Linked DNA regions of Stegostoma tigrinum. The protein of the gene in region 1 purifies or fractionates together with the protein of each later gene. This does not show direct contact. Links are inferred from orthologs where the notes say so. Each region holds a gene or a part of one and is shown on either strand. Other genes may lie near its edges.

The links.
Region 2: the proteins of prkcz (region 1) and llgl1 purify together in Homo sapiens (affinity purification with mass spectrometry; 6 studies listed by BioGRID and IntAct, counting the BioPlex papers as one, with this or other methods). This does not show direct contact. The link is inferred for Stegostoma tigrinum from reciprocal best matches to the Homo sapiens genes PRKCZ and LLGL1.
Region 3: the proteins of prkcz (region 1) and partitioning defective 6 homolog gamma purify together in Homo sapiens (affinity purification with mass spectrometry; 6 studies listed by BioGRID and IntAct, counting the BioPlex papers as one, with this or other methods). This does not show direct contact. The link is inferred for Stegostoma tigrinum from reciprocal best matches to the Homo sapiens genes PRKCZ and PARD6G.

The regions. Positions count from the first base shown.
Region 1 is NC_081381.1:22,673,692-22,677,442, reverse strand, and holds the start of prkcz (protein kinase C zeta type), read right to left. Parts: upstream 2,972-3,751; 5' UTR 2,585-2,971; coding exon 2,511-2,584; intron 1-2,510. UniProt on the Homo sapiens protein: Calcium- and diacylglycerol-independent serine/threonine-protein kinase that functions in phosphatidylinositol 3-kinase (PI3K) pathway and mitogen-activated protein (MAP) kinase cascade, and is involved in NF-kappa-B activation, mitogenic signaling, cell proliferation, cell polarity, inflammatory response and maintenance of long-term potentiation (LTP).
Region 2 is NC_081376.1:25,395,443-25,399,193, forward strand, and holds the start of llgl1 (lethal(2) giant larvae protein homolog 1), read right to left. Parts: upstream 2,546-3,751; 5' UTR 2,375-2,545; coding exon 2,294-2,374; intron 1-2,293. UniProt on the Homo sapiens protein: Cortical cytoskeleton protein found in a complex involved in maintaining cell polarity and epithelial integrity. Involved in the regulation of mitotic spindle orientation, proliferation, differentiation and tissue organization of neuroepithelial cells.
Region 3 is NC_081355.1:34,916,591-34,920,341, forward strand, and holds the start of partitioning defective 6 homolog gamma, read right to left. Parts: upstream 2,548-3,751; 5' UTR 2,370-2,547; coding exon 2,301-2,369; intron 1-2,300. UniProt on the Homo sapiens protein: Adapter protein involved in asymmetrical cell division and cell polarization processes. May play a role in the formation of epithelial tight junctions. The PARD6-PARD3 complex links GTP-bound Rho small GTPases to atypical protein kinase C proteins.

The DNA.
Region 1 (3,751 bases):
TTGCTGTGTCAACCAAACAAATAAAATCTTGTTCTATGTCTAAAAGGTGAAATTGATGTTTTCCACTGGAATGAAAAGGGATCCATATCAGATTGCAGTGTGGCTTTTTTTGGATAATAAAGTTTTTAAACTTGGCATTCCTCACTTTGCGCTCCCAGTAAAAATCAAGTTTGCTGTGTGTCAGTTGGATAAGTAATTTATTGGATATGCATTCCCAAAGGAAGCTGGTTCAGCCATTAGGTTTACAAATTCCTGCTCTATAATTATAATCAAAGTCATAACTCAAAATTCCCCAACATAATACTTAAGCACATCATGCAATTTTTTAAAAATCCTTTCACAGGATGTGGGTGTTGCTGGCTAGGCCAGCATTTATTGCCCGCCCCTAATTACCCAGAGGGCAGTTAAGAGTCATTGCTGTGGGTCTGGAGTCACATATAGACCTTACCCAGGTATTGATGGCAGTTTCGTTCCCTTAAAAGACAGGGGCAAACCAGATGGATTTTTCCTGATAATCAACAAGGGATTCATGGTCATCATCATTAGACTCTCAATTCCCGATTTTTATTGAATTCAAATTCTATTTGCCCAATGGGATTCAAACCTGGGACCCCAAAATATTTCCTAGGTATACATTTTTGATATAGAATCCCTAGTGTGTAAACAGGCCCTTCGGCCCAACAAGTCCACACCGACCTTCACAGCACCCCACCCAGACCCCATTCCCCTAATCTACACAACCCTGAATACTATGGGCAATTTTAACATGGCCAATCCATCTAGCCCGCACATCTGAGCCATGGGAGGAAACTGGAGCACCCAGGAGGAAACCCACACAAGCACAAGGAGAACGTGCAAACTCCACACAGACAGGCGTCCGAGGTGTAGAATTGAACCCGGGTCTCTGGCGCTGTGAGGCAGCAGTGCTAACCACTCAGGCACCGTGCTATGATTCTTTGGATTAACTGAGAGTCTATGGATTAACAGTCCAGTGATAATACCACTAGGCCACTGCCTCCCCTTATATCTACACACAAGATGTTTGGCTGAACAAGAGTGGCCAGAAAATACAGCACCATGCTACTTGACAACAACAACAACAACAACAATCCAATGAGATTTAAATCATTGAAGAGACAGGAAGAAAACTAAATTCTGTAAAAAAATCTTTTTTATCTTCAAGCAAAGAGACAACCTGAGTGTAACAAGGCTGAAAGCTGCAATATAGAGTAGCTTTAGTTTGTGTCTCTGGTTTCAGGTTACGTGTATACTATTACACATGTAAAATCCCAATTATATGGCCTTCAGTCCTCCTTTTGCCACGTCATTTCTGAAGTAACTGATTTATTCTACAATGCTGTCAGTTTGTTGATAATTGAGAGAAGAATGAAGTAGTGATAACTGACCAAGTTGGATTTAGCCTATTTAACGTGGGCAGAACATATGTGGGTAATTTTTCACATTTTCTCATAGATACCTTAATGAAAAATGTACTTTAACAGGTCAGCTAGGTACCTGGCTGGTGCTGGAGCATGATTTATCAGCACAATTGTTGGAATGTTGTTAGGCTCCACATTCTCTGCAGTATCCAGTGTCTTTGGACGTTTGTTGCAATCACATGGGTAGAATCTAATTGGCTGGATGCTGCCATGTTGGGTCCTCATAGGCAAATTGAGGTCACGAAAATGTTTTTCAGATTTTGTCACAAACCAAAAAAAACTTTAGATGTGCTTGGTTGTGATAGACTTGAAAAATCAAACGTACCTAATATTTAGCATGCCATCTAATTCCAGGTGTTATATTTGTTTACAGTATCACAACCAACATAATGGCAAATTAATTGAAGAGAAAAGACTGAACACTCAGAACCACTAGAAGGCTGTAATATTTAAAAGCTCAAAATTATGCAGACAGAAGCCATTACCTGAATTAGTAAATTAAAATTCCTGCAAAAACAAAACCCATAACTACAGGGGCTGAAGGACTAAGACATCCTTGTTTTGTCATACAGATTTTATGATCAACACCAGAGTCACAACCTTTGGCTGATGCCCCAAATTATTCACACTGAAGGATAATTTAAGCATGTCCACACCAAAACAGGAATCAAAATAACTAGCCCATATTTAACAGGTCTAATAATGTAACGCGTAAAATTCTTAGACAAACAGCGCACTTTAGACAGCATCCTGTTCAATAACGTCAAAGCCAAATGTTTAGTATGGTAAGAAAATAAATAGTTTTCGAATAGATTAACTGGAAACATACACTGTTAGTGTTAAAATGCTTGAAACTCTGCATATCTTCTCTGTAACTGCCTACAAAAAAAGTGTCAAAAAAGTTTCACAGCAGCATGATCGCACAGATAAATTGTTTTTCCCTGAAGAAAACGCTTTCATCTTTCAATCAATTTTCTAAGAGACGCAATAAAACAAAACGCTTTCTTAAGCGAATAGTATGCTAGGTAAATACTGTGGGAAGCTATCGAGTGTCAAATTATTTTAACTTACCCATTGTAGTGAGCTTTGACTTTGATCGAGTCACCTGTTCCGTGCTCCATGTTGTTATCCAGCCTCGTAGGCATGACACAATCGACACTCCACCAGCGAACGGATTCAAAGTAAACCAGCGCAAACTTTCGGACAGGAAGGCGCAGTTACGAAAAAGCCTCTCGCTGCTTCTCCAGTACAAATTCCACCACTTTCCTTTTAGGAAAACCCAAAGCTTCAACCTCAGCAGATCTTTGCTTGTTTAAAAAAAAGCCGAATTGAATCACAGAAGCCAATCAAGTTTCAGAAAAGATGGAACATAAGACTTTCGATGAAACTCGTTATTATTCAATGTCGTGACGAAGTATCAACTCGTGTTTCTTTTTGCTCGATTGCGCTCCTAAGGAAACTTGTTGCTGCCGGTAGCCCGCCACTCTAGCAAAGCTCGCGCTGCACAAATGGCGGTTACAGGTTAACCGACAATTCCCACCCTGCGCCGCCCCCCCAGCGTGGACACCACAAGCCGCATCAACAACCAATCACATTCTAGCAGAAGTTACCTGTACTACCCTCCCTCCCCAGCCAATCCCGAGGGACAAACCGGCGAACGGAATCCCACCTTGGCCAATCAGGAACAAATCGAACTTTGACCAATAGAACAAGGGATGGCTGCGTTGTTTAATGAAAAACCTGCCGCCAATCCGATCGCGGCCTCCGCCCTCCCCAAATCACCTGGAACCAATGGGAGACAAGAAGCCTCTCATACTGAACAACAGAATGAAAGCCTTGCACTGAAATCGCGTTCGTCACGCTCTTTCGGAATGTCATCACTGATTTAGGAGATAACAAGGTGTAGAGCTGGATGAACACAGCAGGCCAGGCAGCATTAGAGGAGCAGGAAAACTGACGTTTCGTGTGAAGAGATAATGGGAACTGCAGATGCTGGAGAATTCCAAGATAATAGTGTGGAGCTGGATGAACACAGCAGGCCAAGCAGCATCTCAGGAGCACAAAAGCTGACGTTTCGGGCCTAGACCCTTCATCAGAGAGTTGCGTGTGAAGACCCTTCTTTCTCTGATGCTGCTTGGCCTGCTGTGTTCATTTAGCTCTACACCTTGATATCTCAGATTCTCCGGCATCAGCAGTTCCTACTAACACTGAGTTGGGAGACCTGCGTTCAAGTGTCACTTGCTCCAAAGGCATGTAAATAACATCCCCGACTGGTATTCTGACAAAAAAAACCTGCCTTTTTCCAATGGCAG
Region 2 (3,751 bases), on another chromosome or scaffold:
GTTACCTCAACCACATCTTCTGTTTCCCACAGTCCTGCCCCCTCATCCTCATGGCTCCAATGAAAATAAAGACAGAATCCCCTTATTCTCATAGCACTCCAAGGGCCTGAACAAACCTTTCATATCCAACAGGGGATCACCTGCACATGCCAACTTGGTCTACTGTATCCACAGCTCCCAATGTGGCCTTCTCTACATCAGCAAGGCCAAGCAAGACTTGGAGACTGTTTCATAGGGCATCTGCTCCCTTCACTCAACAAACAATATCACCTTCCAGTTGCCAACTGTTAACTCCCACTTCCACACCCTGGGTGACATGACCATCCCAGGCCTCCTCCAGTGCTACAATGACAACGCCTGGAACCTGGCAGACAACACTTCACATTCCACCTCACAAACCTACAGCCCCATGGCCCAAATATGTAATTTAGCAGTTTTAAAATCTCCCCACCCCTGCCCTCATCCCCATCTCCTTGATGTCACACAACCTGTCTGTCTTATCTCCCACCTATCTACCCCAACCATCCCACTGACCAATGCCCACCACTCCCTACCTGCATTCACTCAACACCATCCCACATACCTTCACCAGCCCCACCTCTCCTGTTTATTTTCCAGCTCACGTCCTCCCATTTCTGAAGAAGGGTCCTGACCAGAAACATGAACTTTCCTGTTCCTCTGATGATGCCTGGCCTGATGTGCTCCTCCAGCTCCACATTTATCTGACGCCAGCATCTACAGTTCTTGCTATCTCATCTTGCAAAGTATGTCTGCTGTGAGAACAACATTTACAAGAGAGATTTGGAAGTGGGATGGTGAAAAGACATGTGCAATAGCACAAAATGCTTTCTAAACTGTGCTAAAGCCTTCTGTGCACAAACACCAGGTGCAGCCCGACACAACTTTTACACACATCTGGACTTTGCAGCACTGCACACTGTCGTTAAGCTGGCACCCCTTCTGGAACATGCCTATGCATAGAAGGTCTGGCAGCAATGTGGTATTATAGTCGAGGATGGTCCTGATGCAGCACAGCGATGAAGCATTTCCTGCGCTATGGGCTGTACTTTGGAAGGCTCAGAGATAAATCTCTGCACCTGGAAGGCCAGCACCACAGTGAAAGGTATTGTTGGTTTGCCCAAAGTGATGTTCCAGTGCAAAGAGGTGCCCTCAATCAAATGTTGCACAAACTGGCTTCCCCCCCACCCCAAGATTCAGGGCTACATGACAAGTGTGCTCTAAAGCTTGGGACATCCAATGCCCATCCAGTGAAGAAATGCCATTGTTTTGGAAAGTACATAGTTTCTGGTCACATTTGTTAAGTGCTCCAATTCTGAACTTTGTTAGAGGCATCCAAGCATTCAATGCTGAAATGAAATCTGTGACTTTACTCTTCAATTTACAGTTCAAGTTGGACATTACCAAAGTGTGCTAATATAGATAGTTATTGCTTAAAGTACCACCACAAAATTAATTAAGCATGTCACAATCAAGCTTGTCAAGCAATGCAAAGGCCAATAAATCACTGCCACTCTAAAACCAGCTCTCAGGACACATGATCTCACTGCAGTTCTCTCCTTTCCTTTACGTAAGGAGCCTTGCCAGGCATCTCACAATAACCAAAATTAATAACCTGACTTTTTAAAAAAGAAGCACTGAAGTTAAAGCCAAGGTTGAGGTGAAACACCTGTAAGGCAAAATTAATCAGAAGATAGGTGCAGAGGAACACGAGACCCTCTTTGAGGGTCACTGGCAAGAATTAGTTGCATTGGCACAGTGTGGGCATCAGAGACCAGACCAACATTTACTGTCCATGGCTCATGGCCTTTGAAAAAGTAGCAATGATGAACTGTCTTCAGAATTACAAGCAGGTGGCTTGATAGACCATTTGTTGAACAAGTTAACAGTGAGCCTATACCTGTACATGGCAATTGATGGCAGGCTCCTCCCCGAAAGTGAGCATCAGTTGTTACATTAATTACTCGCTTTATGGCTATCATTGCCAGCACTAGCATCAGTTGAGAATTTAAAGTCGCCGGCTATTATGCTGAGATTTGAACAAATCTTTAGGTCACTAGTTCAGACCTCTGGATTACTGGCTCTGTCACCCAAAGGTTAAAATATAGTTTCATCTCCCACTTACCCACGCCCCCTCCTCTACACCCCATCCCCCTTCGACCGTCCCTCCTTCCTCCCTCCCCACCCTCCACTATACCCTATCCCCCACCACCCTTATCCTCCCCAACCCCCAGGCCCTTGGCCTCCCCTCCCCTCCCCTCACCCACGCACCCACCTTATTGAAGGCGAAAAGCTCCAGTTTTAGTTTCTCCCGCTGCGGGTCGTTGCCCGGCCGTCGGAACCGAAACTTCATCATGATCCCAGGGATGGTATCTCGGTGGCAGGATCCCCACCCCGGTTTCGGTGGGCTAGCTCTGGTTGGTAAGATTCAAAGATTCTCTGTCCTCCGCCTCGCTTCTTTTTTAGGGGCGCGCGGCCGCCTCTGATCCTTTTGTGGCGGCTCCGACCCGTTAGCTCCGCCCCTGCATATACGGGCCGCCTATTGGCTCCTCCCACTGGATTGCCATCAGAGACCCCTCGTCGAGACCAATTAATGAGCAGAAGCCTCTTTCCCATGTGACCTGGGAACAACCAATCCACCTCTTGGTCCGTCTGTTCTTGCTGCATCCTGGGAAATGTAGTTTATACGGCAACAAACTTATTCAGCCGAGCTGATGCGATCAGAGGAGTTGCTGGAAAAGCTCAGCAGGTCTGCAAGCATCTGTGAAGAAAAAAATCAGAGTTAACGTGTCGGGTCCGGTGACCTCAGAAACTGATGGTATGGATGCTGCAGAGGAGCTTGCTTCCAACCTTTATCATTTCGTCCTATTACTTTTGTCCTCACGTAATTACCTAGCTTCTCCTTCACTTCATTCGAGCTATTGACCTTGAGCAGAGACCGCAGAATCTTAATTTCACTTTTTGGTTAAATTTCCTCGAAGATTCATGACTGTCATTGTTATGGCACCTGGAAACATCCTTGGTACATCTGCCCTGTCAACTGCTTTCATATTCTTATAGAGACTCAGTTTGTTTTGTTTTGGATAGGCATAACTCTCAAGTTCTAGTGTTATTCTTTTCAATTTGATTTATTACTGTCACTTGTACATAGATACAGTGAAAACTTTTGTTTAGCATGCATTACAGGCAGATCATACCATACAAAGTGCATTACAGAAATAGAATCTGGCTGTAGAGAACATAGAACATAGAACATAGAACAGTACAGCACAGAACAGGCCCTTCAGCCCACAATGTTGTGCCGACCATTGATCCTCATGTATGCACCCTCAAATTTCTGTGACCATATGCATGTCCAGCAGTCTCTTAAATGACCCCAATGACCTTGCTTCCACAACTGCTGCTGGCAATGCATTCCATGCTCTCACAACTCTCTGCGTAAAGAACCTGCCTCTGACATCCCCTCTATACTTTCCACCAACCAGCTTAAAACTATGACCCCTCGTGCTAGCCATTTCTGCCCTGGGAAATAGTCTCTGGCTAGAAGATGTAGAAAGAGCGAGATCAACAATAAATAAAAACCAAAAGAACTGCAGATGCTGTAAATCAGGAACAAAAACAAGTTGCTGGGAAAGCTCAGCTTTTCTGGCAGCATCTGTGACGAAAAAAATCAAAGTCACCCTTCCTCAGAACTTACGCTAGCTAACAAAAAGTCAATTTATATGCAGAAAAT
Region 3 (3,751 bases), on another chromosome or scaffold:
GTTGTCTTCAACAAAGACACTAGCATTTGTTCGATAGTCTTCCCATTGAGTCAAAGGATGTGGCCCAGACAATGACCGAGGAATTTATCTGGTGCTCCTATGTGTCAATGGTACACAGTCCTAGTTTTGCAAATTACAGGAGTGTAATTGAGCTGTATGAAGAATTTTGTTGGAAAAAGACACCGTGGATAGAAACTTCCACCATGGCATGTAGAAGGCTGAGCTGATGCAGCTGATTCTATTCGGATCTCATCATCAATGGTGGCCTTGCAAAACAGATGGTTGCAAATGTATGGGAAGTGTATCACTGTATCCCAGTATCACCTCTTCAACATATATCGAAGTTGGAATATTTGACTTACCAGGTTTAGATTGCTAAGAGCTTTGTTTTGGCAACAATCAAGATTAGGCAGAGCATGTGTATGAATTGAAGACTGTCTTGTAAATATGGCATATTATGAGAAATGACAGTGCACTCTTCTGCAATCTTCAAGTTATGTTCATGAGAGTCAGTTCAGCTGTGGCTTGGATTAAAGAATTTTCTTTATTTCACATAAGATGGCAGCTAATCTTGGATGAAGGGAATTGCACTGTTAGTTAGTCCCCACGTGCTTTACAGTCTATCTTATAGCCTTGCTTGATAATGGGCCAGATTCTCAAGATTGTTGCAGTCAGTGACCATGAAGTGATTTCAGGATTGTGAAGAAGTTTCTTGGACGTCAAATTCTTTGGAGAATCATAACTCAGTAAATTGCAAGGCTCAGTCTAAGTGCTTGGATGAATGCAATGCATAGTTCCTGACATTTTGTTACCGGGAAAATCAAAAACAAAGACCAGAAGCTTCTGTGGAAGATTTAAAGCCACTGGAAGTAAGACAATTCAGGTAAATGAGTCAGAATGTTCCCTGTATGGCCAAGAGGAAAACAGCTTGATAGTTTCCGCAGCAGAAGTCATCTCCCTTCTGGACGACAATTACCATAGTCTCTTTTGTGACTTTTGGGGGATGGCTTGGGGGAGATAGCCTTGAAAGTATCATCTGACAGGAAAGGAGTTATTGAAAATGTTCTTTCCAGCAATTACATCCCTTGGAAGGATTTTCATCCTGGGAATGAAAGAAGTCTTGTCCATTTGACCTTGGTCCACAAATGCCTTGTGGCTTCAAAAGATCTTTAAATGTCATGATGGTCAACATACTGTCAGATTTAATAGGCTCTCTCTTCTCTCTCTTTGTCCCTTTGTTTTCCAGGTTTGTCTTTGGGCTTCAGCCTCAATCTGTTGGGATGCTGTCTTGATGACTTTGGATGCTGAGTTGTCTACCAGGCAATGAATGCTATTTCTGTTCTAGGTGTTCACATATTTTACATCATTTTCATTGAATCAGTCTCAGTGGCAACAATATTTAAACCCATAGGCTGCATCCATTGTCCAAGTACAACTTTCAGCAAAATCTTCCATCCAGCACATTTTATTAAAATCACAAATCTTAGACAGCACATTAAATCAATCAAAATGGTGTGGTAATTACACACTTGAACTGCTTTGGTATCAAATGAATACCAACCAACAAAACATAAAAACTCCTCTTGTATCTAATTTCTCTTTCCTGATCTGATCCCACGCAAACAGATTCCGAGAAATGTCAAATAGTGATAATAACATAGAGAATGACAACGCTTCACAATGCGCAGGAAAGGCAGCAATTCTCCAGCAGCTGGGTTTAAGCGCCTGTGCTTGGTGGCCAGATCATGCCAGTTCCAGCACCTTTCCGGACTGCGAGAGAGAAGGCAAGAAGCACAAGTGGGTGAAACACACTCTGAAAGAGGCAAAGGACCCGAAACGTTAACTCTGCTTTCTCTGCTTTCTCCGCACAAATGCCACCGGACCCGCTGAGTCTCACCAGCAACTTCTGTTTGTGAACCATATTCCAGATGTTGGCCTTGAACCTTTTATTACGCGCCAGAGACGGGAAAAAAGCGAAGCCACAGGCTCATATCAACGGGCCGGAATATTCCATTCCTTCAGTTTTTTAAAAAAAGAAAAGAAAATCGAAGCAAGAAATTTCCGAAAAAAATTCTGAAAGTAACCTACTCTCCGTGTCCCATTCAGTTTACACCTACATGTTGCGCTCCACTTCTAAACAGGAAAGGGGGGGGAAGTAAGGGAACAGAATCCACAACGTAGTCGTGTAATAAACATTAAACAAACTGCGCCCACTTAAAGCCGCTGGCTCCGAGTGAAGGAAGACCCATTCCCCACGACCTGCAGTCTAGGCTTTTAGTTTGTAACTTTCACCCGCTCACCTTACTCTTCACTTCCACCGCCACCCTATCCAAACACTTCAGCGTGGTGGGCTTGTAACTTCTGTTCATTCTCCCTGCTAGTAGTTTTTCTCTTTCTCTGCGATGGGAACTCGCGGCGCCGAATCCCGGCACGAGCTGCTCCCTGCGTCGTTCCAATTGGAATTCGAAAGTGTTCCGAGAAGATCAGACCATTAACGAGTCTTCCTCCGATTGTTGTCGAACGGACTCAATCTCGCAAGCAAGCACCTACTTGCGCGCGCATACCCTTTCTTTCTCCAACAGTGTCTCTGGCACGTACCGATGTCATCGCGTAAAACCGTTAAGCTCCTCCCCCGAAGTGTCGTTGTAACATCGGAGTCTTCTTTCCAAACTGTAGTTGGCGTTGTATCGTGTGGCCACATCTTTAACTTTTTTTTAAAAAAACGATCTGTATGGACCTGTTATGCATGATATTACGTTCAGAGATGAGACTTGAACCCAGAATTCTGGGCCAAGGAATAACGTGGTCTGCATGTCCTGACACGAGAATTCCAAAACAAACTCTACTTTGAGCTCTGTCTTGACATGCAGCTACCGCAAGGGCAGATAAATTGCTTCAAGGACCTTCTGAAAGAAAACCTTTCTGAAAAATTCCAATATTCCCACTGATTTATTGGAATGTCTAGGCGTGACCACCCAAACCGGAGAAAAACACCTGTGAAGGTGGCAAATATTGAGACATCTCCCAACAGGCCCAAAGGGAAGTCAAGTGCAAACACCGGAAAAGGCCTGTTAAAGCCATGAACATTCCATCCATCGCTTCAGCAAACACCATTTTCTGCATCTGAGGAATGGTTTATGAGTCCACTCAGTATAGTCATCACACGACCCACACCACCGGCATGGAAAAAAAAGTTATCTTTGATTCTGACAAACTACCTAATCATTGAGATCATTGCTTTGAAAAGGTGGTTGATTTATCATGGTTGGACACTAACCTGTTGAAATCATGCCCACACTTCATAGGATCACCATCTTGGCTGGTGGTGACTGGAACAGAAACTGTTCGGAACTTTGAATGTTAGAATATTCACAAGTGACCATTAAGAAAGAAGAACTGTACTTAAATTACATGAGCTTTCAAGATTCCAAACTGATATAGCCAAGGAACAAGCAGTGGGTTGAAGTTTCTACTGGAAAGGAAAAAACTGATAGTTGGTTTGGCCAGCCAGAATAGGATCTTGGATGCACCACCAAAACACTCCAATTATATAAATGTAAGGTTAGTGACACTTCTTCCAAAACTCGGCCATAAAAAAAGTGCCATCATCAAGACTTATACACTACTCCTTGAATCTAATGAAAATGTTACATGAAAATCTCTATTCTGACATTGTTGGAAGCCTCAAAACCATCCCAAAACCAGAAATGAGTCTAGGGACTTTAATGTTTTTTTAAATTCAGAAATACAC